4 linked regions of the Lepisosteus oculatus genome follow. The main gene of each other region encodes a partner of the protein of the gene in region 2 in a complex. Links are inferred from orthologs where the notes say so. Each region holds a gene or a part of one and is shown on either strand. Other genes may lie near its edges. The genes, in order: anks4b, ush1c, cdhr2 and myo7aa.

What was found.
Region 1: ush1c (region 2) and anks4b share a complex: the UniProt entries of both Homo sapiens proteins name them as parts of the IMAC/intermicrovillar adhesion complex. The link is inferred for Lepisosteus oculatus from reciprocal best matches to the Homo sapiens genes USH1C and ANKS4B.
Region 3: ush1c (region 2) and cdhr2 share a complex: the UniProt entries of both Homo sapiens proteins name them as parts of the IMAC/intermicrovillar adhesion complex. The link is inferred for Lepisosteus oculatus from reciprocal best matches to the Homo sapiens genes USH1C and CDHR2.
Region 4: the proteins of ush1c (region 2) and myo7aa are in contact, whole or in part, in a crystal structure (PDB 5MV9), measured with the Homo sapiens proteins. The link is inferred for Lepisosteus oculatus from reciprocal best matches to the Homo sapiens genes USH1C and MYO7A. Residues at the interface, in NP_001284693.1 of Homo sapiens: Glu450, Pro456, Ile457, Val461, Val462, Ser463, Tyr466, Glu467, Lys479, Gly480, Pro522, Tyr526, Asp527, Asp528, Glu529, Leu530, Thr531, Phe532, Phe533; in NP_000251.3 of Homo sapiens: Phe1946, Val1953, Ala1976, Lys1995, Lys1996, Trp1998, Gln2017, Pro2020, Lys2021, Arg2024, Tyr2026, Ser2112, Ala2113, Phe2114, Phe2115, Glu2116, Val2117, Lys2118, Ile2128, Ser2161, Gly2163, Asn2164, Thr2165, Tyr2166, His2168, Leu2181, Glu2183, Thr2184, Ser2185, Leu2186.

What each region holds. Positions count from the first base shown.
Region 1 is NC_090714.1:16,471,659-16,479,366, forward strand, and holds the start of anks4b (ankyrin repeat and SAM domain-containing protein 4B), read left to right. Parts: upstream 1-4,698; 5' UTR 4,699-4,958; coding exon 4,959-5,302; intron 5,303-7,708. Other genes in the region: slc25a17l (peroxisomal membrane protein PMP34), read right to left, coding at 403-498, 870-1,015, 1,144-1,260, 1,393-1,547, 1,828-1,894, 2,334-2,394, 2,822-2,950. UniProt on the Homo sapiens protein: As part of the intermicrovillar adhesion complex/IMAC plays a role in epithelial brush border differentiation, controlling microvilli organization and length. Plays a role in assembly of the complex.
Region 2 is NC_090716.1:12,309,453-12,317,036, forward strand, and holds the start of ush1c (harmonin), read left to right. Parts: upstream 1-4,584; 5' UTR 4,585-4,695; coding exon 4,696-4,773; intron 4,774-4,949; coding exon 4,950-5,017; intron 5,018-6,992; coding exon 6,993-7,136; intron 7,137-7,584. UniProt on the Homo sapiens protein: Anchoring/scaffolding protein that is a part of the functional network formed by USH1C, USH1G, CDH23 and MYO7A that mediates mechanotransduction in cochlear hair cells. Required for normal development and maintenance of cochlear hair cell bundles.
Region 3 is NC_090706.1:37,321,707-37,329,430, reverse strand, and holds the start of cdhr2 (cadherin-related family member 2), read left to right. Parts: upstream 1-4,718; 5' UTR 4,719-4,851; intron 4,852-5,484; 5' UTR 5,485-5,655; intron 5,656-7,692; 5' UTR 7,693-7,715; coding exon 7,716-7,724. UniProt on the Homo sapiens protein: Intermicrovillar adhesion molecule that forms, via its extracellular domain, calcium-dependent heterophilic complexes with CDHR5 on adjacent microvilli. Thereby, controls the packing of microvilli at the apical membrane of epithelial cells.
Region 4 is NC_090700.1:10,071,367-10,078,418, reverse strand, and holds the start of myo7aa (unconventional myosin-VIIa), read left to right. Parts: upstream 1-4,031; 5' UTR 4,032-4,241; intron 4,242-7,052. UniProt on the Homo sapiens protein: Myosins are actin-based motor molecules with ATPase activity. Unconventional myosins serve in intracellular movements. Their highly divergent tails bind to membranous compartments, which are then moved relative to actin filaments.

The sequences.
Region 1 (7,708 bases), on a different chromosome or scaffold from region 2:
AGCGAGACGGACCTGAAATGCCACATCTTTGACCAGGAGAAGGTGCACAGAATCTGCGTCCATCTTACTATCAGGTCACGCCCTTATTTATCTTTAAATTTACTTTACTTTTAAAAATGAAATGGACACAGGCTTCTCTGAGCCAAGCAGGACAAGGAAGAGGAAAAAGTATATTATTAGGTGTACATTTAAAAAAAAAAGTCCCCAATTATTTTGGTGTGCTCTATACCCCCGTGCCCTCTCTCGTTCTCCAAACCTCGAGAGCTTAAAAGGGTTTCGTCTGCGTTTTGCTTCGGCTTTCTCTCTGTCACTTAGAAACCAGATGCCCTCTCCCTCAGAATTCCTCCCGGAGCCATCTGGAGGACGGTCCACACAAAGAGCGACAAGCAGGCGATTGTTTACCCTCAGTATGGCCTGCACGGTCTGCAGCGGGTACGTTGCGGTGGTTGCGATGGCTTTGGCGAGGGCTCCCATGAGGAAGATCTCCAGCGATGAGATCTGAAGGGGGAGGAGAAACACACTCAAGCCGTGTTCGCAGCTTACCGCCCGGCAGGGGCATCTGGAAATGGAGAGGTCACACACGAGGGTGGCCCTCAGTCCCGCCGGCTTTGTGGCTGCCCTCCTTAAAACCCTGATTTTGTTTTGGGGCCCTGGAACTGCCCTTCGATGAAGTGGCTCCGAGATCACGGGAGCTAAACATACCAGCAGCTGCTAGGCTCCCAGGGACCGTGGCTGGTCCTCACCCTCGTCTTCATACCAGCTGCGTTCCCAAGTGGATCAAAGCTCCCGCTCTTTCCCCGTCGGGCCTGGGGCTCGGGATCGAGTGGCAGGGCCTGCAGCTGACAGGGGCGGGCGAGGGGCCCTCTCACCTTCCTGCGGCCGCGGCCGGCCCTCCTCTTCATCGCTTCGTAGAACATGAACTGCACCGCGGGGTTGAAGACCAGGAGGAGGGAGGGCAGCGTGCCGTTCCACAGGGCCCCCAGCCCCTCCCGGGCTGCGATCTGGGAGAAGGCATCTAGAGAGACAGGGGGGGGGCTGTGTTACGCAGTGCCTGCAGGACAGGAGTTGACTCATGTGGTCTCATGTCAGGCCCAGCTTTAAAAGCCAAGGCAACACGCGGCGTGGTCTGACAGGGTGGCTCACCGAAAATGCCCTTATAGTGAGTCTGCTGAAGCTCCTCGTTCCTGAACCTGGCTCCCTGCAGCTTCAGCCTGGTGTTGACGACCCACATGGGGGTAGTCAGGAGGACATTGACGGCCCCTGAAAGACACCGTGAGCTCAGCCGGGCTGGGAGTTCAGCCTGCAGAAACCAACGCCTCACACGTTGGCTTCAGTACAACCTCTTCTCGGCTCACGCGAGTTCTGTCTAGACTGTGGGCGGCGCCCTCTCACCCGAGATGAAGCCCATGAGCAGGTCTCTGCCCGGCCGGGACCGGCCCCTCTCCAGCGCCCACAGGGCCTTCAGGGTGTTGAAGGTGTAGAAATACACGAAGTTGGAGCAGCAGAGGCTGGAGATCACGGGAAACCAGCCGCGATACAGAGCCGGGCTGCAGGAAGAAGAGGGAAAGCCCGCTCCCAGGCGTCACACATCCGCGGCGGCTCAGGCCCCCCCGAGCCGCGACAAAGCGGCCCCCGACCAACTACCCTCTCCGCCATGGCCGACCTGCGCTGCTGTGGGCAAACGCAGTCCCTGGCCAGAGCGCAGCAGCTGCTCACTAGCGCCTCCTCCCCCTGGGGGAGGCAGGGGACCATGCGCCCTGCGGCAGGTCCGGCTCGTCACGAGACCCCCCCCCAGCCGCCCCGGACGCCGACCCCGGCTGTACTTACACCCCCTCCTCCTTCGCGATCTCGGCCAGGATGACGGGAGTGGACCTGGACTTCCGGTGCTCGTCCACTGAAAGTGACCAGCCACACAAAACCGTCACCGCGGCGGCCGGAACTTGACCATCAGTGTGCAGTCCCTCAGAGCTCAGAGCAGAGCCTCAGCGCTGGGGGACTCTTCGAATAAAGACCGACACAGTGCCCATTCTTTCACCCTCCCGAAGTCAAATTGTTTTTAATAAAAAATCACCCTCAGTTAACATCAGAGCCGCCTTTTAACCCTTTCAGAACAATAACGAGAACAAAGCAAAATAAACACTGCCCTCAAACAGAACAGACATGGCCCCAGTGGGCGCTGTGCCCAGTTAGACCCAGGTTCATGAGGTCAGGAGGTCATGTGATCACGGGGCACCTGCAGCACAGTGCAGCTGTCCCGCGGCGGGTCTGGGTCTTGTGCTGGTCAAGAGTTTGGTCTGAACCGAAAGCGTTGCTGGTACCCCTGCCCGTCTCACCTTGCAGCCGGATCCTGGCCGTGTCCAGCGGGAAGAACACGCTCATGGCCGTCGCGCTGCCCTGCGGAGGCACGGAGCGGCGGGGGGTTAGCGCCGACACGGAACAGCCCGCACTTTCAACCCGCCCCTCGACGGGGCTTTTTCCGCTCGGGGGCGGAAAGAAGAAAGAAAAAAAGGTCCTGAACGATCAGACCTTGGCACGGTTACTTTTTGCAATGAGACGCTTGTCATCTGCGTTGACGTATTTAGCAATGCGGTAGTTTGTATTTTGTGTTACCGTGAAGCACGCTGGCCGGGGCTCTGTCTCGGTCCGCAGACCGGATACAGAACCCGCAGCTAGGCGCCGGTCAGATAAAAACTCGCACTAAAACATGACTTTCCGAGACTTCTGGCACCAGCGCGATGGCGTTGAAGTGAAAAGTACATAAAGACGCGTTGAGACCCTGAAATCCGAGCTCAGCTCGTCCAGTTTGCCCCGAGTCTCCTACCACAGCCCCAGCGACGGCGTGTACGAGGGTCTCATAAGACAGCAGGCCGACGGCGGCCACCGGGGGCTCCGACATTTCCTCCTGCTGAGGCGGGGGCGACATCTCGGCGCGGTCCTGGCCAGGGCGCATGTATAACACCACCGGCTCCAACTCCTCTCCGCTCCCGGGCTGACTGCGGCAAACGGCCCTCCCTCCTCGCTTCCTCCTGCGTGCAGAGGAGGAGCTACGCCGGAGATGGCTCTCTGTGTCCTGTAGGGCGGGGAGGAGGGGGGAGGGATCCCCGACATACAGGTGTTTCGGGTCCGACTTGCGGGAGTCCAGGAGAAACTGAGCAGGAGGCAGCGGGTTTGCGCGAGTTCCGTTCAGTTTAGTTGTCACCTGCCCCAGCGCAGTGAAATGCTTATTTGCACTTAGGCTCCGATACAAAGGCAGTAAAAGAAATCAACAGAAACAGAAACACAGAACAGCTGCAGCAACAACAACAACAAGAAGTTAAAAAAAAAACATGCAACTTAAAAAAAAAAGTCAGACAAGTAGTGTAGGTTGGGAACATCAGGGTGAGCCATTAGGCGAGGTATTGGGGTGCTGTTAAGGGGTTTTCTTGGGGTCTTTTGAGGGTGCGGGTCTGTCTGGGTTTCTGCGGGCAGCCTCGAGTCACGTGGGTTTTAGCGAGCGCCCCCCAGAGGAGAGTCCCGGTACTGATTCGGGCCCGGGCTGTCCCGCAGGCAGGCGAGGGAGCCCAGACAGGGCCGGCTTTTCCACAAGTAAGGGCTGAAGAATTCACACCTCACTAGCCACGACTGGCTCGGCGGAAGAAAAAAACAAGAGGAGCCGAATTCGCGGCGAATATTTTAATTAGAATCAGCTCCGTCAAATCTCTTTATGTTTAATATCCCCTGCTCTTTTTTTTTGCGTTTGTCAAAAGAAAATTTTAAATATTTCGTTTTGGGAGTTTTTTTTAAAGAAACTTTGGTTTACCCTAGATCATTTCACTTCCACTGTCTTCCATACTAATGGAGATACTAGTACTGTCTAAAGGGGTTGGTTGGTGCTGAATTCATGTTGCACGAATTATATTTTGTTGTGGGTAACTTTATTACTTATGTCTATTGCACCATTGTGTAGTTTGCTTTTATATTGCTGTAGGGCGACTCGTTGATTGCGAAATAAAAGTATTTCGTGAATAGCAATGTTTTCCGTTGTGTTAAAGCCAGGCTCTTAACGGTGTAATCCTACAATGATCTCGGCTAGCCGACAGTGTAACAATGGCGGCACTGTAGGCTCATCTGTAGGAGTGGTACAATAATAACAAGAGAATTAACTGACCTACCGAAAAGAGCTCCTCCTTTGACCTCACGTCTTTAATGAGCACATTGAGCAGACAGAACAAACTGTTCCCACAACCCGGAGGAATTAAGACCCCCTGGTTCCAGATCTGCGTGCGTGTCGGAGCGGAGGCGCATCATCTTAATTACAGCAGCTACTTATTTCAGGGCGAGCCTGTTCAACTCAACTATTAATATATTTAAAATAGAATTTTAAAACCCATACAGCAATTTTGTTGTTATGAAAGATATGACTGTGTGCATAGTTGAATCATGGGTTATTAAGACGTACGGTATTAAGTAATATGTATATATTTCTAACATAGTTCAGGTGGGTAGCTGTGTCACCATGCGTAGGCTGGAAAGGAACAAGTAATAGGTTTATTCCTATTCAGGTGTGGAATTTGTTTTCGGCACGGACTAAACCTATTATTTCTAACATATACATGTTAGAAAACAAGCCTTATTAAGTCATATGTAGTTACAGCCTTAACTAGAACATTATTAAATTATTTTTTTAGTTTTTCTCGTTCAAAAAGTGACTTTAGTCAAAGAAACAAAATAGATATCTTATTTTATTGTAATGTCTCCTTGGATATAACACAGATCAAGTCACTCCATGTCTCGATATGTGATACAATTATATTTTGATTTTTGTCGAAGAGGAGGGAGAGGGTGAATTTCATTCTCCTTCTTGTAACACACCGCAAAGAGCGGATCGATGAAGTCCTCGCCGTACAAACTGGCGTCTCCCCATTTGCGCCACCTTCAATGCACACCGAGCCAGGAGAGATGGACTTTGCCTGCGATTTATGGCCCAGCAGGTGGAGGTGGCGACTCGGCCTTTATCTTCAGCCCTTGGTGTTGAAGAGACTCTTGTTTTCCAGGCTGGCGGGGGCGATCATGCGAGGCGTCCTGCGGTAGAGGCGCTGGTCTGTGTCCCGAGGTCTCGCCATCAAGCTGAGAAAGAGAGAGGAGCGGCACCGGTCATCATGTCTACGAGGTACCATAAAGCGGCCATCGATGGCTATCTGGACCTGCTGAAAGAGGGTACCAGGAAGGATCTGAACACCCCGGATGAGGACGGCATGACCCCGACCCTCTGGGCGGCTTTCCACGGACATCTCGAGGCGCTGCAGCTGATCTGCAGCAGGGGGTGAGTAAGGCGAGGAGCCGGCATCCGTTTCGTCGAGCGGCCGGTGAGGCGACTCACCGGGGCGAAACCCCAGAGAAAACCTGACCGTAGAGGACAGACAGGATTAAAAAGTACACTTCTGTAGACCACGAATGGCAAAACCTACCCTTATTTTTTTAAACTAATATTTTGTGTGCAAAATGCTTGAAAGTCCCATTTCCATGTATGAATACAACGTAGTTTTAACTTTTTTTTCCCTTTTGCGTAGTGTCAAAAAGCTTTTAGTTTTCTCAAAAACAAAAAAAAATCCATCAAGAGATTTTTTTAATTAAAAATATTCACGATGTGAATTCTGTTCTCCAGCAAATAGAGATCACATAAATGGTATTTTTCCTCCTACTTATGCTTCAATAATATGTCAAATGTACTTATATTCACCCCCTCCTTACTTTTTAATGTTCTCTAAAATATTCCGTATGTATTCGGACGTTGATTTTGTCGCACAGCGTCTTAACGATGTACAGGATATTATTACGGGATACTTTACAATATTATATCGGCCGGTTTCCCCTTCATCGATCTCTTCCGCCTGTGATCTCTTTGATCTGTTTGACTTCAATCTAACGGTATCTCAGCAGGTGCTGAAAGAGTTTTTCGATCAGAAAGCGGATGGCGCGAGTGACTTAACGTTAATTTAAACGCCTTGAACATCGTGTAGCTGGTGCTTTCATTTTCCGTTCGCCAAACGACCCGACAAGAATGATGCCGGAGTTATACTGCGATCAGCGACCATCAAACCAGCCTCCCCCAAGTGCTGTAAACAAGCGCTTCCCATTTTAATGAAAAAAAAGGGAATACACTCAGAAACAAAAGCCTACAAACAGAAGGCAGAACAAAAACAGAACGGAGTTGCTCACGTCGGCTTCCTCAAAGGTGGGTGGGGTGGGTGGTATTGCACATACCTGCAAAGTCTCTTCATGGGATGAGACCTTTATACCCTGCAAGAAGACACTTCCTCAGTGCTCTAACACAGACATAACGTCACCACAGAGAGTTCTAGACACTTAGCTAGCAAGGTCAGCTGAGCTCTTTGTTTTTGCATTGCACGGTTTTTCTTTTTGTTCACCAGTTCCTCCAGTTTTCAACTCCACTCAGTTCAGTCTCCAAACACCCGGAACTTCCAACAGCAGGTCAAGCAATCCGGACCCCAAGACAAGAGCTGGGCTCTTCCTTCCTCGCGCTTTCTCCCAGGGAATCCACTGATCTCTGGGAAGGTGGCGATGGTACAGCCGCACGCGGCTCTCGTGAGGCCCAGACCAGTGAACGCGTGGGGGAACTGATCTGGGGACCGTGCAGCCGGTGTCACTTGTACTTGTGGGTTTGTCAAAGCTTGAGAAACGCGAAAGGACACCACGGGCAGGTATCAAAGGTTGCTGTGAGATTATCACCTGCTGTATATAACAGCTTTCAGCAGTTATCAGTGCAGCTTTTTAATCACACGGGCAAAGTGATCAAACATCGTTTTTTTCTGAAACAACAGAATATCATTTCAACAAACATACTTTTCTCCTGGGATTTTGTTGCAGGACCACATCAGCCTGTTGAAGCCTTGACATATTTTACAATGGCTTTTTTTTTTGCTGCGTTTGTATCGTGAAATATCGTTTAAAAACTCTCGCCCCAGTTTGCGTCACTTGCAAAGCTTTTTGGGAGCTGAAGCTTTTTAGGAGCTGAATGATGCCAGAGATCTAATCAAGCAAAACAGAATAATGCTCAAACAACACAAAGGGCTCTTTCAGTTCAGAGAGGTTTGAGACTTTACTCTGCAGCTTTTCAATCGCATGTGTTCACACTGTAGCAGGAGAGAGCCAGAGAGAATTTTAGTCATTATAACAGAAAAGATCTTACATTGTTTAAAAAGTATTTTAGTGAACATTAATGTAATGAGGGTGAAAGAACAATAAATGATGTGTAACAGCTAATTACTTTATTTTATGTTTTTATTCTTCTCTTTAAAATTGGAAAAAGTTGTCAGTTTGTTGATGTGTCTTTCCAAAACATAGTTAACAAGAATCATCACTATCATCACCATCATCATCATCATCAATTTCAATGAAGGCCAGTTCAGGGTCACGCTGGCCCAGAGCCTATCCCAGGAAGCACTGGTCGCAAATCAGGATACGCCCTGGATGGGACACCTGTCCATGGCAGGACTCACACAGACATTTGTGTAGTTGCTAAGCGACTATCACCTAGCGGGCATTTTACAAGCCAGTAGATAATATACATGAGGACTTTATTCTTAATACCTCACCAGTTAAGTATTCGGCGGTTGTCACATGCAAACATACTGTAACAACCCTGATCTCCTTACCGTGATAAAAGCTGTTTCCATTGGAAAATCAGTAGGATAATCAATTGCTTTCG
Region 2 (7,584 bases):
TTTTATGGTGAAACTTAATTTAGAATCCATCCGTGCTTCATATGCACCAGGTGTTGATGGAATCAATTTCTCCAAGAAAAGCCAGATTAAAAAAAGTAGTTTAGCTGTAAAGGAGACACATTTTTCTATGATAATGTAGAAGTTTGTTTTTCAGGTGGACTTTCTCTTCTGTTTCAGATCTGAGAGCATCCCTACTCCTGCTTAAAGAATGACGACAGGCACTAATTAACATAATTTATTCAGGCAGGTATCAGAGGCCATGCAAATGAGCAAACTACCGTAATGTTAACCTATGTCAGAAGTCTGTCTTAAAATGTATAAAATGCGTATGTCCGTCTTTAGTCATTAAGTTCTGCTTGAAACAGCTTATTAAAAACGCATTTCGGAGGAAATAGAATATTACTTGCTGTTCAGACTCCTTGCCCAGAGAACGGTCTGATTTAAGCCTCTCCTGTTTTGACTTAAATTATCCGTTATACCAGAGTTGACTTTTATTCTCCTTTTCATTTGAAGGTTTTGTGCCTCGATTGTTTTAAGACTGAGAAGTGTAAACGTAAACTACAAAATAATTAAAATGCATTTGAAAAATTATTATAGACCAAGCTTGTGGTCTACTTTCACAGTTTAAATCCGAATCCGTTAAAAAACAAAAGGAGATTTTTCTGTTCATTGTACTTTACAAAAACAAAACTGAATCAAAAAGGTGAGATGTTAAATTTTTAAGATACCTTCACAATTCCACACAAACCTGTTTGGGAATAGGGGATTGAATAAGTAAGTAGGTCGCCACCTAGCGGAGATCTGAGTTAACACTCACCTGTTTCCCTTCACATTGAAAAAATGTTTATTTGTTAAAGCTATATATACTATATATAGGGCACTTATTTCCAGAAGGGATACATGTTTAAAAGTAAAAGACTTCATTTCAGAGATTAATGTATGCTTATAAAATAGATAACTATCATCATCGTAGTTAACCCCTTATTCTTGTTACGTTAACATTAATACCGTAAGCCATGTTAAATATTTTTTCACCGTTTATTTGTAATTCTTATTCACAAATTAATTATGTTTCAGAAATATTGTCGACCAGAGGTATCTTAATAGGGCGTAGTAAGAACTCGGGTACATTATATTGTACCAGTTCGGAAAGAGATGTCAATCCAGTGGAGAGCGCATTCGTGAAACAGTATTCATTCTTCCCCGAAAGTATTTATTCCTAAAATATAGTGATTTTTAAAAACAAATGCTGGATACAGTATACACAAACTACAAAACGGAAGGAAGCGGTTTGTTGAGAGTATTTGTACGAGGAGACCGGCCGGTATTCACACCGGAGCGGTCTATGCGCAGCAGGTAGCTGTACCTGCGTCTTTCCAGCCTTGTATTGAAAGGAACAGGGAAGCGCCTTGAGCGCTCCGCTCCTCCCAGCGCCGGACAGACAGCCGCAGAGGAGCAGCACTAACGAGCTCGGCAGAGCCGGCAGCGCGGACAGGAGCCCGGTGTTGCGCACAACCATGGAGCGAAAAGTTGCTCGCGAATTCAGGCATAAGGTAGGAAACGCGGGGGCTTGGGATGAGACGTGTGTATCAAGACATGTACAGTACATGTAAAACAGTCTTTTAAAAAAAAAACGCCAAGATGACAAAAGACATGTACTATATGTACTCTGACCCCTATCAATTAACCATGTACATGGGGGAAGGGCGTTGTACGTGGCAGTTATGTACGTTTACTAACTTATTTACTTACTTAATTTATTTTATTTCTTGAATGTTTTTATTATTATGAATTCTAACAGTTGCGGTAATTGTTACTCTTAGCTGAGAAAATGTGTAGCGCAGCTAATGGAGTGTAGTGGAGTGTATCGAAATAACTTGTATTTACTATTTTTAATTTGCTTTTTGTTGGACGGAATTTATAAATTATAGTTCATTTGATACAGTATTGTGTTTCAAAACAGGAGCAAGAATGGGATTACTATGCAAATACTAATCAATACAGTAGGCTGCACTTCAGAAAACGTGATAAACTCTCGCAGTTTCTAGGCCTACATCTGTGATTGATTGGGTTTAGGAACGATGCTACAATGTGAATTTCTAAAAGTTATTGTCAAAAACACTAAATAATACACAAGTCCAGATGCTCAGATGTGGAAAACAGTTAACTGGTAGCATCTGTACACATACAGTACAACACATGGTCTATAAAACATCATGTTGCTAAGGATCATAATTTATAACGTTAAAAACGAACAAAAAAACATCAAATATCTGACACGCCACATGATATGAAAGTTGCACCATGGGTAGGGGTAGGTTCTTCCATATAAAAAAGACTCACTGTGCCTTAGTCGCTAAATTGCGACCCCATAAAGCTGTGCTCTTCAGCACATAATTTATAGATGCTACCAAATATGTTCAGTGAGGCAGAAACATTCTTTGCTGATTTACTGTTGATTAAATTAGAATGACATCAAAGGGGGAGAACGCTGCATAATAAAGGACACTTGGCTTTGAATCAACAGAGCTCGGTTGACCTTTTATCTAATTTGTCACTCCTGATTGTGCTTGAAATGCCGTTTCTGGTTTTTCTGAAGGCTGTACTTTCTGAAAAATGGCACTCAAGAGGAAATATTCCCAAACTGTTTTGTTTTGTGCTACGCATTATGCTCATTTGCAAAAAAGGGGAAATAATCCTTCTTGAAGGAGAGGATTACAAAGATGTTTAAACTCGCTCTTCTTCTGTCATCTCACCTGAGAAGATTACAAACCAGAGGAGGCCATTTGATCCATCTCACGTGTTTGCTGCTACTACTGTGGCTAAACTCTTTCAACCGTGTTCCCATATAGTGAGGATGAACTAACATGAAAATGTAAATTGTTTTCACATGTTGTGCCATTATGTTCAATATCACTCATTTAACAGTGTTTACAGACTTTAAATATATACAGAAAATGTCACTTTTAGATATGCCGTTTTAAATCTTCTCTGGTGCTCTTATTTAACACAAATTGGAATATGTACTTAAGTGCTATTTTCAATTTTTATTTTTAGCTTCTGTTTATTTAATGTCCATTTTTTACGTCATAGTTTGCTGGTATTTCACTATCAGTATGGCAAGTTTTATGGCTTTCAAGTATCAAAGTCTTTGGGGTGGTATGAATTGTGCAATAATGAGTTACGAGACGTATGAATGTTTCTACCTACTCAGCGGTATAGCTGCCATTTTGCACACATCATCTTTAATTACATAGTAAAGGCTCCATTTTAATACAACTCAGGTTGAAATCTAAATTTAGACACAGTGCATTGTGTGCTGCAGATGATTCAGTTAGGAATATTTGCAATCCACTTTTGTACTTTGCAATGCTGCAAGACTGTATTCTCAGAAAGGAAGGGGCTCTAACACTGACTGAACATGCACCTTGAAAATGTGTTGAAAAGGTTTTTAAATATCATGGGAGGAATATTATTTATGCTTGCATGAGGAAGCTTAAAGAAAGGCAGGTAGGGCAGTAGCTGTTGTTGACAATAGGGTCTATTAGTGTTACTTCTTGATGAGCTGTCCCAAAGCGGACAAAGTTGCATCTGTCTGTAATTTGTAAAGTTACAAAGAGAAAGGGGTAGTTGTCAGGACACCACCATCACAGATACCAGAGTACCAACTCCAGTCACAGTGCTGTCAGTCTGTGCTGGTGTAACAGGGCTCATGCACTGAGTCAGTGACAGAAGTGACATCACCCCCTTCTGAAAGCTAGACAGGGTAAGACTCTGTGACAGAAGAGGACCTGGTGTTGAAGTCCACTGCATTCTACAGCTCCACAGGAGCAGAAGTCTCCTCTGGCTGTGTGGTTCTGGGTCACTAGCAGTTGTGATCAGATCCCGGCAGGAGCAGAGTGGAGTCACGCTGATCACTGATGGCATGGAGAACTCTCCCGTTAGAGACCCGGGTGTTTTGGAGTGGCAGGGTTGTCCACAGTCTAGAGCCTGTGATTGGCCTAAACCAGTGCCTCATGACCTGGGATAATGTTGGAGGTGGTTTCATCTTTTAGACGAGACGTTAAACCAAGGCCCTGCTTACTTGGTCAGATTGCATGATAGTGTTTATATGAGTGAGCTTTTTAATTAACCCCAGTGTCCTGACTACTCTGGACTTTCACAATCTGGCCTTCTTAAAGTTTAGCCCTTTGGTGACAACATTTTTCTTTCCTTGTCTGGATCTGCTGTCCCAGGCAGAAGCTTCTTTTCAGCGGTGCATGAATTGCATCACCTACAAAGCGCCTAATAATTTTAATGAATAATATTAGATATTCTTAAAATTCATATTAAAGCAGTTTCTTTGATCAAAACAAACTTAATCTGAAGGAAAGTTTATTTCCAAATGCGACAGAAATCAGACCTTTTTGGGTTACTAATAGAGTCGGGAGAAAAGGCCTCTTTATATACTGTACTGCAGGGCCTGTGGAAAGGAGGCTGTAGTTGAATGTGTTGTAAAGTGACACTGCTCCAGCTGAACCTCCCATTACCACGCATAGAAGTGGCTACTAGTACTGAGCCAGATGAAGGCTGCAGGCTGAGCAGAGAAAGCGATCTGCCCCGGGAACTTATTGTAGACAACAATACCCTCTGGATAACTGTAGCACTGCTCTTGAGCCAGTGATCACTTTACACAAGCAGCTACACTGATTCTGGATGGGAGGAATGTGCTACATTAATGAATGGCCGAAAAGGTTTTTGAAAATATTTGTCCAGCAGTTCAGCCGTTACCAGGTAAGGGACTATATAAACGCATGACTTTCTGCAATGCCGTATGTGGGATCCGTTTTTCATTTTTGTTGAAATCCTTTTGTATGCTCTCTAAAGACGTTCATCAAGTCAGTTCTGAATATGTATATTATCAGCATGTTAAAACAATGTTATCATTGTGTGGTTGCTTTACTTTGTAGGTGGAATTGCTTATTGACAATGAAGCTGAAAAGGATTACCTTTACGATGTGCTGCGGATGTACCACCAGTGAGTCCTGTTTTTTCTTGGCTATTTTCTTCTGATATTGTCCATTTTACCCACTACTATTTATACAATATTTTTAAGATATTTTGTTAATATTCTCAATGTAGACTTATAGTACTGTATCACACTATTAATATTTTACCCATGAATAATAAGTTTTCTTTCCATTTGTGCTGGAAACAGGAAAGTTATTTAAATGTGATGCATGAAATGCAGGTCTCTTAAAATCCCAGCATGTTATGAAATGCAGAACATTTCTCACATCAAGTAAAATGTTTATTTTATGTATAAATGATTGTACTTTTATCATTACTGCATAGCTTAGTAATGTTAGTTCATCTTTTGATTTCAGTGAGACACTCTGCTTATCCACACTGCACATTTTGCATTTAAAAAGACTGAATCGATTTCATACACTTTAATAACTAAACTTCAGCAGATGTGCTTATACGGTATATTCTGTCAAGATTTGTCTGAGGAATACTGACAAAAGAATTCCGCAGTGGGAGGTATTGTTTCCACTGAGTTGTGTAATAATAGCAGCTGAATGGAGTGAAATGTAGATGTTGCAGAAGTTTCCATGTGATCTTTGTAAGGAGGAACAGTTTTGTTTCTCACTGGATATGTATCCAGTTCTCTTTCACTCCCTGTCCAATTGAACCTCTATTCATATTCGCTTTTGCTTGTGCGTCAGAAATGAAATAGCTATGGTTAATAATTTAAAGACTCCACCAGGTTGCTAAATTCATAAACAGCTGTCATACAATGCCAGAGCAGTTTTTATGAGGTATAGTTTACTACAGTGCTTCAGGAACTTGCTGGTACCTTTATGCTCAGCAGCTGTGGAGAACTTTTAAGTGAACCATAACATGATTTATAGAGATCTGCAAAGTACCTCCTATCCAGTGGTTGTCATCGTGTACAGTATACAGTATTACAGAAAATAAGGCACTAATTTAAGCATGAGCTAATGTATTCAGGCAATTTTAAGTTCACTGAGATTTTTTATTATCCAAAAGTATTCTTCACTTTTAGAACTGTTGTCATTGTTTTAATAAGCTAATTTTCCACATTTAATATCTTTGCTTAACTGGATTTGATATACTGTAGATGTCGGTATGGTGCAGTCATTTTCCTTTGACCTATTTTAATTTTTAGGACCTGTTTAGTAATGGAGAATTAATACTTAATTGTGTCAGAAGGCATTATTTTGTTACAGTGCCTCTTAGTTATAAGAAAGTGCATAATATACATTTTTTTTAAAATGACAACCTCACGGAGATGTCCCAAAATATATTATGAAACTACCACAGAGCAAAACAGCTTTTTACATTTACATTTATTTGTGTTAATTGCAACAAGTTTTTTAAGTAGATTTGGTTATCCATTGTATAAACATTTCCAAGAGGTTTTCAGATAATTTTCATTATCTCGTTGCTTGAAAGTCGGGGTGGCAGATATATTTTTAATTGTACAGTACATGATGTTTCAATGTTAAAGTCAATATACATTACACATCACATGTCACAGTATTGTACCGTTTGATAGGAGCAGGAGTCATTAAGGCTATTGACTGAAATGGGTAGGTGTGTCAGGGGGTTACTGCGATGGTATCCTTGAACTAGTGCTTGACTCAGATTGCTCCAGTAAAAAAGCTGCTGTATAAATGCATGCTCTCAAGGTTGCTGTGGTAAATGAGAATTTGTTCTCAGCTGGCTTGTCTGATTGAATAAATCAACCACGTTTAGTCATTCGGATGGTTCCAGGGAGTATTTTAATTCATAATTTCTCACATTTTCTAAATGTTCTATTTCATCAGTGTTCTCAGGCCTCGAGCCTTAAAGGCTGTTTGACACAGAGTAAGTTGTCAAAAGGAGACATTTATTGTTGAGCTCGAGATATACAGCTGTACCCCTGCCATTGCTGGGCTGATGTTAAAGCTCTTTGTTCTGGTAGCCCTTCATCTTTTCTTTCCCAGATCTATGGACCTCCCTGTCTTGGTTGGTGATCTAAAGCTGGTCATTAGTGAGCCAAGCCGCCTGCCTCTTTTTGACTCCATTCGACCTCTCATCCCCCTGAAGCACCAGGTGGAGTATGACCAGCTCACCCCTAAACGGTCAAGGTGAGCAGGCTTCTGCAGATGCCCATGTAACGATGCTGTAAAACAGATGGGCCAAGCTTGGAAGAAATGTAGAAAAGAAAAAAAAAGAGTTTGATATATAATCCCATTTTAACTGAATTGCTGGTTTTCAGATTCACTGATCCACATCTAAATGTAATGGAATGAGTTTAGCAGTGAGACAGAGTTTTTGTGATTGAGGTTGAAAAAGAAACTGGCCCATGAGATTCTATTTGTAAGCAAAAGAAACACAATTTAATGAACATATAAAAATAACATAAGCAACTGTATCTGTTTACTTTAACATTATACAGTGAAATGGATAGGATTACTCCTGAAAGAAGAAAGTATTTCTGTGTTAGCAAAAGAGAAAACAACTGACTAAGTTGAAAAGTTGAAAGGCAGCTATATTTTGAATGTACTGTATAGTACATTATTAGGTTTAAAATGC
Region 3 (7,724 bases), on a different chromosome or scaffold from region 2:
AATTAATTATTCTGGCCACTGGGTGGCAGCACATACAGCTAAAAATCCACACACCCTTCAGGAGCCGGCGCCAGTCTTAACAGCCAGGAGTCGATCAACGGGACTGAAATTGCACCTATAATAATATGTTTCAAATTCAGCACTTCCAAAATAAGACAAAAGTCGATGAAATCACCTGATGCTTTTTGCGACAGAGGTTTACAGAGGTGCTCAGGAGGAGTCTGGCCTCGACTCAAAAAGCGAGTACTTCTTGTTGGCCACCTGATGATGTCATCAGACTTGACTGGCACACAGGAATCGGTGTGTACAGGAAGGTGGTCTCGGCTCTTTCATTCACCTTTCAGTTATTTCACGATTATACCTGTTTGGTGACAACAGGGAAAACGAGGTGGTCACTCATCACATTTTGAGGACTGTATAGTACAGTATCTATAGTAGAACCGCAGTGTGGTAACAGTATAGGAATAATGATGATATAGCCAAAAATAGAATTTGAATAGACTTTTTGAAAATTATATAATCTCGCTGAAATGTATTTTTATTTAGTTTATATGTCTCTCTTAGCTCAGGCCAGTCCAACACTGTATCAATCATCCAATTAATGTTCATTTAAAAGCTATGCGAATGCATTGCATAGTGTTTTACAAGTCAAACAGAGGCAAAGTTGTTTTTTTTTGTATTTCTATTTTGTTTATTTCTTGCAAACGCAAATAAAATTACTTCGTTTTGTATGTATGCCGAAATGAACCGGCTTATCATCTTACCAAACAATATGACGTGTCTGAAATTTCAGAAACGACACTGTTCTTTTAAACAGAGGTAGAATGCCTACGTACATATGTACATATATATTCCTAACTTTTAATTGCATTTGCTTTGCTTTTGAAAGTTAAAATTTCTCGTCTTCGAAATGTTTACGTATTCCTTGTATTCAAATTAAAATGCTGTCATACGCTATTAAAATAGTGCCCACCAGGGGGCAGTGCAAACGCAACAAATACCGTTTAGTCTATTGTAACTTCTCTGTGCTGTAAATGTTGCGTAAATATTTTTTTATATATTTTTTTTTTGGACTCGGATATAAATATACTGATATATCTTTCTACTGCTGAACTAGTTCAAGCGGCACTGGGGATTTTCACTGTGTTCAACGCTAATAACTGCAACCAATCCATTGGTGTAGAGTATTGCAGAGGAGAAAGGACATCTGAAAAGGGCCCAGACAGGTGGGTAAAGGCAACTGTGATTTCAGCTGGCTTGCCACGATGAAGTTAGTCCATGCTTGAGGAGAGCACCACCCTGCCATTTCTAATCTTCCACCACTATTCGTCTCTATCAGTGTGCTACGACATAGTCACGTGGTTTTCATCACGATCCAATGGACCTGCACACAAGTTTATCTCTATTGCATGGAGGTAACACTGATAAATAAGCCTGCAATAAAAATGACAAGTTATGGTTGAACTTTGATAACTATGTGAGACGCACAAGCACAAACGGTATCATTTGAAGCATTTTTATGATAACAGGTTTATCCTTAAACAAGAAACTGAAATTAAAACGCTAAAAAGATCAACTACTTTTGGTTATGGCAAAAAAACAAAACAAAGCACAAACGATTTGTCTAGTCTAGTAGTAATTCAGCAGTGTAAGGTTGTTTTTGAAGTGTTGTCCTGTTTATAAAGAGTTATTGTATGTGGCTCTCTGAGAGACATATAAAAGAACCTATAGCAGTGTGTTTATTTGAGTACACATTATTTCTGTGAGTTGCCATGAAATGTGATAATTTTTGACATGATAAAGATTACACAGCCTGAACAAAGAGAAGACAAATATCATTACCTGTCACATCATTCTTGTCACTAGCACTTTGACTGGATTTTTTTTCAAGATGCAGGAATAGGAAAAATGTAAGAGATGTTACAGATAGGTGGAAGGCATTTGGCTTAGTGGTTAGCTAGTAGCTAATTAAACTGAGTATCTCCAGCACCTTCCTCCATTAAAGATGACGGAGTATGAGCGTCAACAACATGGCTGTATAGCTTGTTCCATTCCCCAGTAACACTTTGCATGGTAAGCAGCTCCTGTGCTTGGTTTTAAATGTACACCCTTGTACTTTCCACGTGCCTTCTGGTTTGGGATTCGCTGCTGAATCAGAGGAAACCCATTAAGTTGCCCTTGACAGTGCCTTTGAACACTTGAGTGAGGTCTCCTTGTAGTTTTCTCTGTTCGAGACTCAAGAGATTTATTTCTCTGCGTCTGGCAGACAGTGTAGGGCATTCCTTTAAGTCCTCTTTTCTTGGGTGTTCTGTTCTGGACTGATTCCAGGGCGACACTATCTTTTCACTAAAAGATGGTTTTGTAATTTCCGAATACTGTAAGGAGCTCAGAGTTAGCGGGTAGCTCAGACTTGGAACAATGTGGTGACAGATTACGGCTTTCATGGCATTTTAAATATGGGTCAACCACTGAAACTGTCTGGGAAATGTGGAAACTTGAAAATGCGATTTTTGACAAAATGGAACTATTTATGAAATTTGTCAGAGTAGATCCCATAATATTTTATGTCACTATAGTTAATACTACAGGAACCAGCTGTGTATTTACACAGTACATTCGTTATTAGTTGTAACATAAGGATTAGGGTTAAGCGTAGTATTTGCTTAGGTGGTTCTTCAGTATTCTTGCTTTTACCCAGTAGGTAGAATCCATATTTGAGTGTAGAGGCTCAGCATGTTAGACGTTATCCCAGCTTCTGAAGTGTTAAACAGACCAAGAGATGATTCCCCCTTAGAAGGGACACTAATCCATCACAGGATCACTTCCACTGGTGCAATTACACCTATTTTTACAGTTTGGGGAACAAGAGAAATTACAGTAAAGTACTTTTATCAAGAAGACAGAAGCAGTATCTACAAGAACTAGCAGGGACACTCTCCCAGTGACAGTCCAGAGATCTAAACACTACTCAAAGATGCCCCCATGTGTTTTCAAGGGTAACAGTGCCAACAAATGTCCCACAAGCCACAAATACATAAAGCGTCTGTTTTAAATTTTTCTTTTGAATATGAAATTTGTCGTGAAAATTGAAACAAATGGGAAATACAGGATGAATATTTAGACACCATGCAGCTGTGCACTGGCTAATTAGACTGGATTGGACTGGGTGCTTGACAGCTCCTGAACAAGAAAGCAATTAAGCAAATGGAGGGGTTTCTTTCCTTTTGACTATGACTATGGTAATGTACAGGTCGCCGACATGTTATGATGGCAGGTTGTTAAATGATACAGCAGTTGAGCAAAAAGTAAAACATTTTTTGTATTATTTAATAATGTGATTGCAATTTGTTTCGTTTAGTACATTGAAACAAAACGCAGCCCAATACCTTGTAAGTAGCCATCTTCCCAAATGTATCAGAAGGAAATTTAAGTGCAAGGAGGAAATAAAGGCAAGGAAAGAAAGGTCTCTATAGATTTACTGCGAGCAGCAATAAAACAGGTCAACGCAGAAAAAAAAGATGTTTTGAGTTTTCAGAAGGCTTTGTGTATGACATAACTGGGTCATTATTATTTCTGAAGCATCAGTTTGTCTCAGCTTGCCAATATACAGTTGGGCTAATCCTCTTTGCTGTAGACGTCATATTCCTCAATCTTAACATTTTGCTGTGGTCTGAATTTCTTCAGTAATAATATCCTATAAATACATATCAAGTTAAATTGTTTTTTTTTTTTAAATAAAGTACTCCCGTAAAAGTCATAAACCTTGGATATGATGATTTAGATTGCACTTTGATCTCTGAATACACAGGTTTGTATATGATGCATATGACGTTTGAATATTGATACTGTTTGCTGCCTGCCAGGCTCCACCCAAAACAGAAAAGCTTTGTAGGTATATACATGTGAATGTGAATGACACGCTATAAAACCATAGTTCAAAATAAAGTGATAAGAAAAGTCAATTTCTTACAGTACATAAGTTCTACCTGACAGTTTTGATTCCCTCAGTGACTCTCTTTTAACTTTATTTAGTTCCACTAAAAGTGTATCAACCCAGGTGTCACATACTCTGCTTTCAACTGACATGAAGGACAATTTAGACATCTCTAAACATAAGAGCAGAAAAATGGTTACAAATGACAGGAGACCATTAGGCCCATTAGCTGCAGTGTGATCTACAAAACATTTTAAGAAGTTACAATAATACTCAACATGTTGCATTATTAATGTCTTTTATTATTCCGTATATGTAACAGTGATTATTTGGCATTAATTTTATTTTCAGCATCTCACAGTTTGTCTTTGATGGGTGAAGGCTAAGGAGCACTCAAACCTAAAACAGTATCTTTTTCTGAACAAAGACAAATTTGGCTAACTTGGCCTTGTCAAAGTCCGAAGGAAAGGACCGGTTAAGGAGACTAAAAAAGATCATATCAAATTTCCAGACAGGTTTTATTTGTCTGAATGAGCTAAATGGGTTTCAGTTCAGATGACTGAACTTCTCCTAATTAAGACTGAAAAGGGAAACACAATGGCCTTCTTTGTTTTAATGAATAAGCCTAAATGTAGGCCACTGAGGTTTCTTTTTGTTTATTAATGATAAAAAAAAACACTTCAATGGATTATCCTTTGTCTGCATCAGGATAATTACAAGGAGTGACTGGTGGGGGCTTATAATAAGGAGCAGCTCGTTAGTGCCTTTGTGAGCGAGTGGGAAGGATCTTTGGTGATTGGAGAGTTTAGTGTTCATTCATTGGTACAGAAAATCGCAGAGTAGTTCTCTCCTCATGCATTTTATTAACTTCATTGAAGAATGCCAGATGGGATTTTGATTTAAAATCTTGCACATAGGTATGAGTCATTCACATTGGGAAATATGTGTCAGACTCTACAGGTGGGCCTAAAAGAAACATTAACTAAACATGGCACTGCTGGGGGTTCTGCTAGCAAACAGGTTATTTTGCTTGCAAATCAGTTTAAGGGTTAAAGTATACATTTGCAGGATTACCAACGACGCTGAGTGGCAATATGACAGTTGGTCATTTTAAGCAAGTGATGTTGCCTCTAACAACGTTATTTCAGTGGCTCTCAATGGCTGAATCTTTTAACATGAATTTTAACACACAATCAGTATTATAAAAAACTGCTTGTATTTACAACCTAAAAAAGGGAATGAGAGGAACAATATCCATAATTTAATCTGTTGTTAATTTTTTCACCATGGATGAAAATAAGTTGTAATTGACAGTATGTGCTATAATTCAGCTTTACGAAGTTAGACTGAAAAGCACAAGGCCAAATGACATTTTGATTTCACATGGAAGATTACACTTAAAGTTTTCTGAGGGGACAAGCATTTTACCTAATTAACATTTTGGTACAGTAACATTTTAAATGCTTTATTTTTGCAGCTGATGCAGCCACAAGAGAGATTTATCTTGTTAATAGGAGGTACTGTACAAATTCTGTTGCTGTGTTTTTAAGGAGACAAGGCAGTACCACTCACTGTAAATGATTCACATTTACAGCCAGGCGTCCATAATCTCCAAAGCTGTTAATTACTTTTAAAGAAGGCAAAGGTCTGTTTCAGTCTTCTTTCCCTACATTGAGAGGAACACACCCAAGAAGTGACATTGAGAGGAGTTGTCGTCCAAGGTAAATTCAAGCTTTTGTATACTTTTGATGTTTTACAAAAAAAAGTTTTATTTGGTCTACCTGCTCTTAGGTTTGTAATGCAAAGCTTTTTAAATTTTTCTTTATTGTTATATTGTTTTGTACATTTAAATTTTTAAATAAATTGTGAGTATGATATCAACTAACTACCTACATATTTGGTCTCCATGTTACAGATATCAGGAATACAATATCATTTAATAAATCATTTAATCCAATACAACAGATTCTAATTAAATATGATATGATATCTATTGTTTTGTCAAAGATTTCTAAAGTGCTCATTCTTCTCAGTCCAGTATCTGTTTCCAATTGAATACATCAATTGATGATCAATATTACTTTCTTGGAAAGAAGAAGAGATGAGAAATCTGTAGGAACCAGAGGGTTGGGAGAGGACTTTGAAGTCCAAATTTTGTTCTGAGTAAAAGGAAAAGCTCACAACTTGTCTCACTCAATTAATAACTTACAAAAAAATCAAGGAAACGTTTTAATGATTGCATAGTAGTGTACCATAGACGATAGAAATCTGAGAAAAGCTATAAGAATATACAATATATTCTTCAAAACACGCAACTAATTTGTAGGATTCACTTTCACACTATTACAAATTGCACGATCTCATTCTTGATAACAGCGACAACCCTAAATCTAGTGAAAACAGACAAAACCTTAGACATTGTGCTTTGCCTTAAGGTGCCACTATATTTTCCAGTCTAATGGGATTTGTTAATTAACACACCAGCAAATCTTTTAATTGCTCAATGGGATCACCCAGCATCAGAGTGACAAGTGAAGTGGAATTAGCACCAGCATATTTTTAAACTAGATCCTTAAAACCACTGGTACTGAAAACGTGGTTTCTCCCTCCTTTTGTATTTAAGCAGTAGCAATCACTAAGGCCATCACAAGGTCATGGTATATACTGTAGGTGGTTGTGAGACATTTGATCACAGAGAACCTGTTAAAAATCCAGTATTTAAACATCTTATTTCCTAGCATCTCTTATGAATTGTTTTGTGGTTGCTTTTTGTAGTTTTTATTGAGCCTTTCTTCCGTTGGAAAGGTTACTACTTGGGGTTTCTCTTTCCTGGTATTTTGTAAAGGAATTTGGTGTACCTGATGCAATTCTAAATCAATGAATAAAAGATAAGTCTCTGTAAAAGACTCTGTAGGACAAATGTAGTAAAAAGGAAAATTGTTATCTTCAAATAATGAACTATAGTCAATCAAGATGGGAGGTTGGGTGTTCTTAATATGGAAAACAAAATATATTTTTAAGCAATAGAAGAACTATATACAGAAGAGGTATACAGTATATAGTAATAATTATAAATAATTATAAACCATATCTCAATCCTTTAGTGCTAAAATTCTGCAGTCTGTACACAAGACAATGTTGTTCTGTCATCAGTCTGTGAGTGATCCTTCCTCAGTACAGAATGGGCCTTCAGTTCTTAAATTCTGAAATCAGTGTATGACGTTGGTGAAGGTTTAAAACCGACATTTTGAAATCAAGAAATTGTGGGTGGTTGATTGCCAGGCTTTTTAAGATTTTGAACATGTTTCTTGTACAGTATAGCGCAGCAGTCAGTTTCTTGGCATTGAGAAAGCAAAAAATGTAAACTTAAACTTGATGCTTTTCCAATGAACATTTATAAAGGAATACAATTGTTTTACCCTTACTTTGAAAAAAGTCTAACACTGTGCTGTTTACAATCTGCAGTAAACAGGTGAGGAACCACCATTGTGTTTCTGTGCCTGTGGTTCCTGCAACAGGTTGTAGGGGGTTTCCCTCTGTTACACTTACAAGATTAATTTTGTTGAGTAAACCTGGAGATGGAGATGGAAGGGATTTAAATGTAACTTAGAGCTTTAATTCATTTCAGTCCAGCCACTGTCTCTAATTTTAGAGTACACGTACAAGTCAAACATATGTAACACTCTCCCAAAGCTTTATTTATGTGAATGCTTTACCTCGTTTCTAACAACAGTCCCTGTTGTGTTGTGTGCTTGCAGTCTTCCTGGCAGAAACCATAAAGATGATGAGC
Region 4 (7,052 bases), on a different chromosome or scaffold from region 2:
CCCTCTATTTTAGATATTTATATGGGAAGCTCTCCATACATAGTTGGTGGACTGTTTTGCAGTCCAAGGTAATTGTTCACTTGCTGTACACAGACCAGGGGTGTTTGTATAGAAGCTCATTAAACCAGAGTTTATTCCTGATTCCAAAGCGTTCAGCAGGTTGTGAGTTTGTTGGGACTTCAGTCCATTGTAGCGTTACTCCCCAGCAATGCTGGTACCCATTTTTACAACTGTGGATTGGCTGCCAGAAATTGGGGTGAAGTACTGTGCTGTAAAGGGACTTAAGTCTTGGGTTTCTAGAGACCAAACTTTGTTTTCCACCAAGTGCCCCCAACATACTGTAGTCTCCCTGCTCCAAACCCCAGGTTTCTAGAGCACTCTCCTTTAAACAGCTTTTGTTAGTCATTCAATTTTAGGTTTTACCGATATTACAATGAAGCATATGTTTATAGATGAATATTTTTAAAAACGACTAGGCACACACGGGCTTAACAAGGATATTTCGGGCAGTGTTCGTCCATTTTGATTTTGGTGTAACAGTTTTATTCCTTGTAGTCCTCATGCACTTTGTTCAGATGGGTTTTCTTTTAATGTGAATAAAGCTAAAAATACAAATATTCCAAGTACAGTGCGTGGATTGTCCCAGTGGCAAAAGATGCTAACTTGTGCTCTTAAAGCTTTAGATCTGAGGAGAAAACTCATGAGCAAATTATTACAAAGTATTTTTGTTTACACTTAAAAAGACTGACATAGCTCTGCTCTATATACTGTATGATGTAAAATGCATAATGATATGTACTTCTTTAATACTGCTACATTTTTTCTCTGACCTACTGCTGGTAGATCTGAGAACTGTGTAGTAGCTTTATAAGTCATATATGACTGAGTATAACATATTTACAATAAGTGTATTTGTTTTCTGAATTATGTGTGTCCTAGTCTGAAACCGGCATCCGATATAAAAGGAATTTTTAAAAAATCATGCATGGAACAGAAGAAGGAGCTTCTTTCACCTACCTGATTGTAACATGTTAGTCACTTTGCTTAAAATATTGCCAATTATTAGTGTTTTTCAGCATACACGTGACCATATATGCACCTTTCAGAATTACCTTTGATATTATAGTGTAAATTAAATCCTTTCCTAATTATCGGCTTTCTGCACATTCCTTTGTGTCATTTTCCAGCAATCGTGTACTTAACAGTTTATGCAAACCACAGAAATAGACAACATTTCAAATAGTAGTCATATAGACCATCTTTTCATTCTGTGTAAAACTGTGAAATTTAGTCAATAAAATCAGCCAATTGCAGAGACCCAGCTCTTGTTTTGCATAATCTGACTTGAATCTTGCAAATGTGTTGCATGATAACTTCTATACCGGACACTGCAAGATTTTTATGAATATTTTTTTAATATTTTCTACTTTTCTGTTACATCTTTTGTATTTCTGTGCTGAATATTGATTTAAAAAATGTCTAATGTTGTTAAAAAGCTTTTTGCTTAACAATGTCTGTGCTTCAGGATGTTTTCCTTGTTTCTTGTCAATTCCTAACTGGGGTGTTACTGTGGTTATTTTATAACACTTTATGGATTTTGTTTTTGTATTTTATGTCAATTTATGGCATGAATTTGAAATAAAATTAAAGAGCTTTTATTGTTTTATTATTCGGTTCTACCAGCGTTTTTTGTTAAGATGGCTACAGTATTTAGAGATTGTTTTAGTTTTCTGTGGGTAGTGTATTGTTGAAAAGCAGAGAACTATTGTGGGGTTAGAATGTGGCTTTGTTAAAAACGAAAGCTGCTTTGCCTCAGAGCTGACGACAACAGCAATAAATTTCTACTTTTTGTTATGGACTGTGCAGATTTAGACTGCTGTGAGCAGATGATTTATTGTCATATCGGTGGAGCAAATTAACAGTTTGAAACCAGTTTGCTAACCAATTAATGGATGGAACACCTGAACTTTTTCTTGTCTTCTTTGAATGAAGAAAGAAAGGCAAGGAGAGGGGAATTCGAGCTCGCATGTGATAATTGCACATTTGGTTTTTCTCTCCGTTTTAAATCCACCAACAGCAAAGTGGTCCATGGCAGTAATATCTCAGAAGCTTAGCTCGGTTGGCCAGCAGTTCCTGGGATGAGAGGCCTTTAGGGAAAGCCATGTTGCTGCAGTATGTTTTGTAGGTGGACCAGTAGGTGGCGCTCTTCCATCTGGACCAGACTAGCCATACCAGTGCCCTAGTATCATGACTAGGGACACTGCGCACGGTAAGTTACTCATATTTGTAAGAGAAATGGTGCTTGATTACACGGAGTTTACCACTGGCTTAATTAAGGTTGCCCCTCAATTCAATTCAAATGTTGAAGTAATTTTTAACTTCACTATAAGACCTATTAAGCAATGTGGCTGTCAGAATGTCACAGCTACTGTATATCACCTAGATCTAGAAAGAAGTGGTTCCCATCCTGTGTGTAAAGAACTATAAGATCCTTCGTGATGGCAGGTATAATACAAATGAAAGAAATTGTAGGAATCTTTAAGGGAACAATTTTTGAAACATTGGTTTTTAATCCTCCATTTTATGAACTATTAGCGTGGATTACAAACATAAATTCACTGTGAAGTCAGGTTATACCTGATGTGGATGGAAAAGTTACTTTTACTTTTGAAGCTTTCTTAAGGCAACGGTGATTCCATATAAAGGGCCAGCACCACATAAACAATGTTATTAATCTCGCATTGTGAAGAAGAACAGTTTGGGATATATCAAGCAATAGATTTCTCTTCAAAGATTAAATAAGCAGTATAGCTTCTTGATTTGTGGCTTTAGAGAAGGTTTCTGGCATTCATCTTAAAATAAATTGTGCATCTATCATAAATATTTCTTATTGAACTGAATTGAAAATCTAATTTGCTGCAGTGTTGAATCTAAGTATTTTTTTTTATTTTGACATTAAGAGAATCTTTAATTGCATGACGGTAGAATAAGACTCAAATAAAAGATGCTCCTCAGGATTTATGTGGGGAAAGCTACACTGTTACTGAAAAATAGGTACAATGCAGCTTTGTAATAAAATAACATAACTTTGTTGAAAACGTACAGTAGTTTGCTGAGTATTAAGAGTGTTATGTTAAACAAATGTATTATTGTTGATTTTTGGTTTACTTGTGTGGAATATTAGACAATTTGCTTTCCAACACAGTAAAGATAATTGACATAAAATAGCTATTAACTGCAAACAGTGCAACTGTGAAATGTTACAAAGTGCTTGTGTTTTCTCCAGCGTGACATTGAGACAGTCTCTTAAAGGTTATTTTTACTGAATATTAATAGTTACAATTTCATACACCTTTACAGGGAAAACTTAGTTCTGTCTATGTCAGTTACTTAAAATATCTGACAAATAATCACTGTATTACTTTGCATTAAGAGGTATTCTAACTTTTTCAGGCTGGGACTTTCAAACCAGCATTCTGAATGTTACTATCTTGTTCTCTCAAGGATAATCCATGTGTATGATTGATCAATGAGAGCAAATATGCACTTTATGTTTTAGACCTTGCACTAAGTACAAGAAGAAGTGCTGAGGACGTCTGAGCTCACACCTGAAGAAGGTTCCATGGCCGAAACGTTGTTTTCTTTCTTCTTTTTTTCAGCATGGAATAAACCCATTACTTGTTCCTTTGCAGCCTACGCATGCTGACGCTGCTACCCACCTGAACTACTGTTGATCAAATGCCTCTTTTTCCCCAGGTCCCCTTGAAGGGTTAATCTGCTGTGAGAAATGGTGGATCATGACAGGGAATTTTCCCTAAAAATCAAATCTAACCCAACTTGAACGGACCACCACAATGAGAACAGGATCTGCAGGGAGGGAGATGGGCAGTAACAGTGTTCTGGTTACTTCTCCAAAGCCCATGGTGTTGAAGCTCTCCTTTAGGGCTTGGTTTGCCTCCTCCCTCCTTGATGACCAGCCGTTTGCCCTAAGCCCTCCCTCCCTGCTGTGAGAGGGATCAGTGTCTGTGAATGAAAGCAGCACTGCTGCCTAATCCCTCCAACAGCACACATACTCTACACGGCAACTCCGGTTTTCAGCAGGTGCGTCAGTCAACTTGAAAGAGAGTTTTGCGTTTCAGTCACCTACACCACCAACTGGTGCCTCACTTGTCCCTGCTCTGGACTATTTTCCTGTGGAATAAAGTGGAGCAGAAAGAGCAGGATTCCTGGTTGGTTAAAAGGTAAGCAAAGGGATCCAGAGCTTAACTGCGCTGTTGGTTTCTTAAGGGTTTATTTAAAGCTTCTTAGAGCTAACATTTTTTCCCCTGCAGCATAGCTGGAACCAGACGGTAATGGGCCACTTTAATAAAAGAGACAGACTTTTTAGGAGAGCTTTCTAGATCGTCAAGAGTTAGCACACAATATATATTGAATTTTGAGGTAAAACAATCTGTATCCTGAGTTGTATTAGATGAACCTGAGTTTTTAATGCAAACATTTTAACAGAAGGAAACTAGTTTAGTGATGGCTGCCAAATGACAAATCTGTAGAAATAAAATTCTAATGCACACTTAGAAAATTATACTTTTTTTAGCAAACAAAAAGCTACCACACGCCCTAAAATGAAGACTTTTTTGAAGCTGGTGAAATGGCACACTGATACTTCTTTCTTGTTGTTATTAGTGCCAGAGAGATTAAGCACTTGACCTTATTGGTCATTCATTAATGGCATATCCTTTGACAAGATACAATAAATCTACAGGAGCAGTGAACTGAAAGAGTGAGACAAGACACGAGAAGGGCATTTTATGTCAGTGTTTGTAAGAATTCTAGCTAGTCTAGAGGATGAGCACATTGTTTTAAAGTTCAGACTCTGTTCACCGATTGTGACACAGACTTAAATAGTCTTGAACAGCAGACAGTTACATAACCTTATACATAACTAATGCTGGTTTGTTTTTGTAGTATCACTCTATAACCTGTGTTTCATAACTTTTTCAATTGGATTTTCAGGGGTAAATCCAGTCTGAGATCTGTCCCTAAGAAACCATGATGTAACACATTGCATTGATAGTCTTAATGGATGCCAAAACTGAGCTGACATGCAGTTACAGCAGACGATAGATTCTAGTACTGTGGAGGTTCAAAGATATTTACATTTTTTCCTTAAGCCATTACCGAGCTGTAGTAATGATTAACTTATGTTCCACACTTTTTTTGCATTGTAATCTAATAAGTGAAGTGAAAGCAAACCAACAGAGCTCCTTACTAAACTGTGTTCTTCATCCCCACTTTTAATTTTTCCATAATTTACAGTTGCCTCGGAACCAGCCTTCAATAACCAGTGATACACAGGCTGCCCTGAAATCATTATATGCAGGAAATTTGTTGAGGGAAACATGTCTGTTATGAATACTAACTACATTGCTGACACGCAGCTCCTGCTGGGTTTTGTGTTGTAAGCTGCACATTCTTGTGGACAGGATTTTTCTGACTTTATAAGGCAGGCTGGTGATTCGTCCATTGCAAGGACTTGTCTTTAAAATGAGCCACTTTGATTCCCAGGCCTTACAAGGTGTCTTCTATTGTACCTCTCTGACCTGGAGTGCAGTTGATAAGCAGCTCACACTTGGTCTCAGCAAGGCACACAAGGATATAAAAGGCATTGCTCTGCAAAAGAGCATAAGTATTAGATGCACCTGCAACTTTTAATTCCAGTATCTGAAACATCTTCTGTAAGGGCTGTGATTGGTACTGTAGTTTTATTAATGTTGCATATTCGCAATATGAAATACCATTGCTGAGAACACAGATTGGCATTATTATGACTTTTTTGGGGTGCATATAATTTTGTCTGCTTCCCTCCTCAAAAGCATGTGATAGACATTATTAATCAGCAAACTGAAAGAATTTTAGAGGCTGTGATCTTAGGGGCTAATAGGATTGCCACATATGGATTGCTAACACACATGGGGGCATGACTTAGTGTTATTTAATAAATCATTTTATAGAGTTGGTAGGGTGTATTGTAGCAGCAAAGGTTATATAAAGTTGGCGTTTTCAATCTACAGCTGCAATGATGGTCAATGCATGCTCACATTTTGGTCCATTGTCACTCATTTTGATATGTACAGTATGAGGACAGTACACTGAACCGGCCTAACCAGCTGTGCTCTATGAAGGCTTTTTATGCTAAACTCTTATATCAGCTATAACCAGGTTTACTAGTAGTTGTGTAGTACTAGTAGACCATACGTAGTATGAATTGCAAGTAAGTCATGTAGGTAGAACAATTTTGTGAGATGACGAGGGTCAAATCATCCGCAACAGTAACTTTCGGAAGCCGAAGAACAAAGTGAAATGATTATCCCCCTTGACATCCCAACTCAGGTCTGTGGTTATCTGCCTGACCAGACCTACAGGAAGAGAATGGCAAGGCAATATCAACTTTCCAGATGCAGCTCTCATGTTTTATTGTTTCATGCCCCTCCTGCTGTAATTAGGTATTTAAATATTCATGGTAAAATGTGTAGCTGCCACAGACAATATTCAGGGTGCCCGGTACACAGTGTCTTCCCTCAGTTAACAGCTTGTTATAACTGATTTGTTCTTATCATCTCATCCCTTGTATGCCTGCTGTGTATTTATAATGATTTGCACTGCTCACTTTATCATACTTCATACTTTACTGCACTGTGGCAGGCTAGAAGTGATGTGTTGAACAGATTGTTTCTTGTGCCCTCCAAAGCATTTCAGCAGCAAGGCTTAGAATCTTCTAGACTAGAGTTTCCAGTTTCCAGTTTTCTCATATGCTGATATGATATTTTTTCCCCCCACAAATGTAACACATCATCTTTTTTCATTCATTTGCTCATACCAGTCACTGGAAATAGTGTTGCAGAAGTCTCCAGTTGAATTTAATTTTACATTATGTCACACAGTTTTGAAAATCAATATGCTTGTATATGGTGACATCACAACCTATTTAGATAGATATATATTTTTTAATGAATTAGCAGCGATATTGGTGAATACAAGGTTTTGACCTCAAA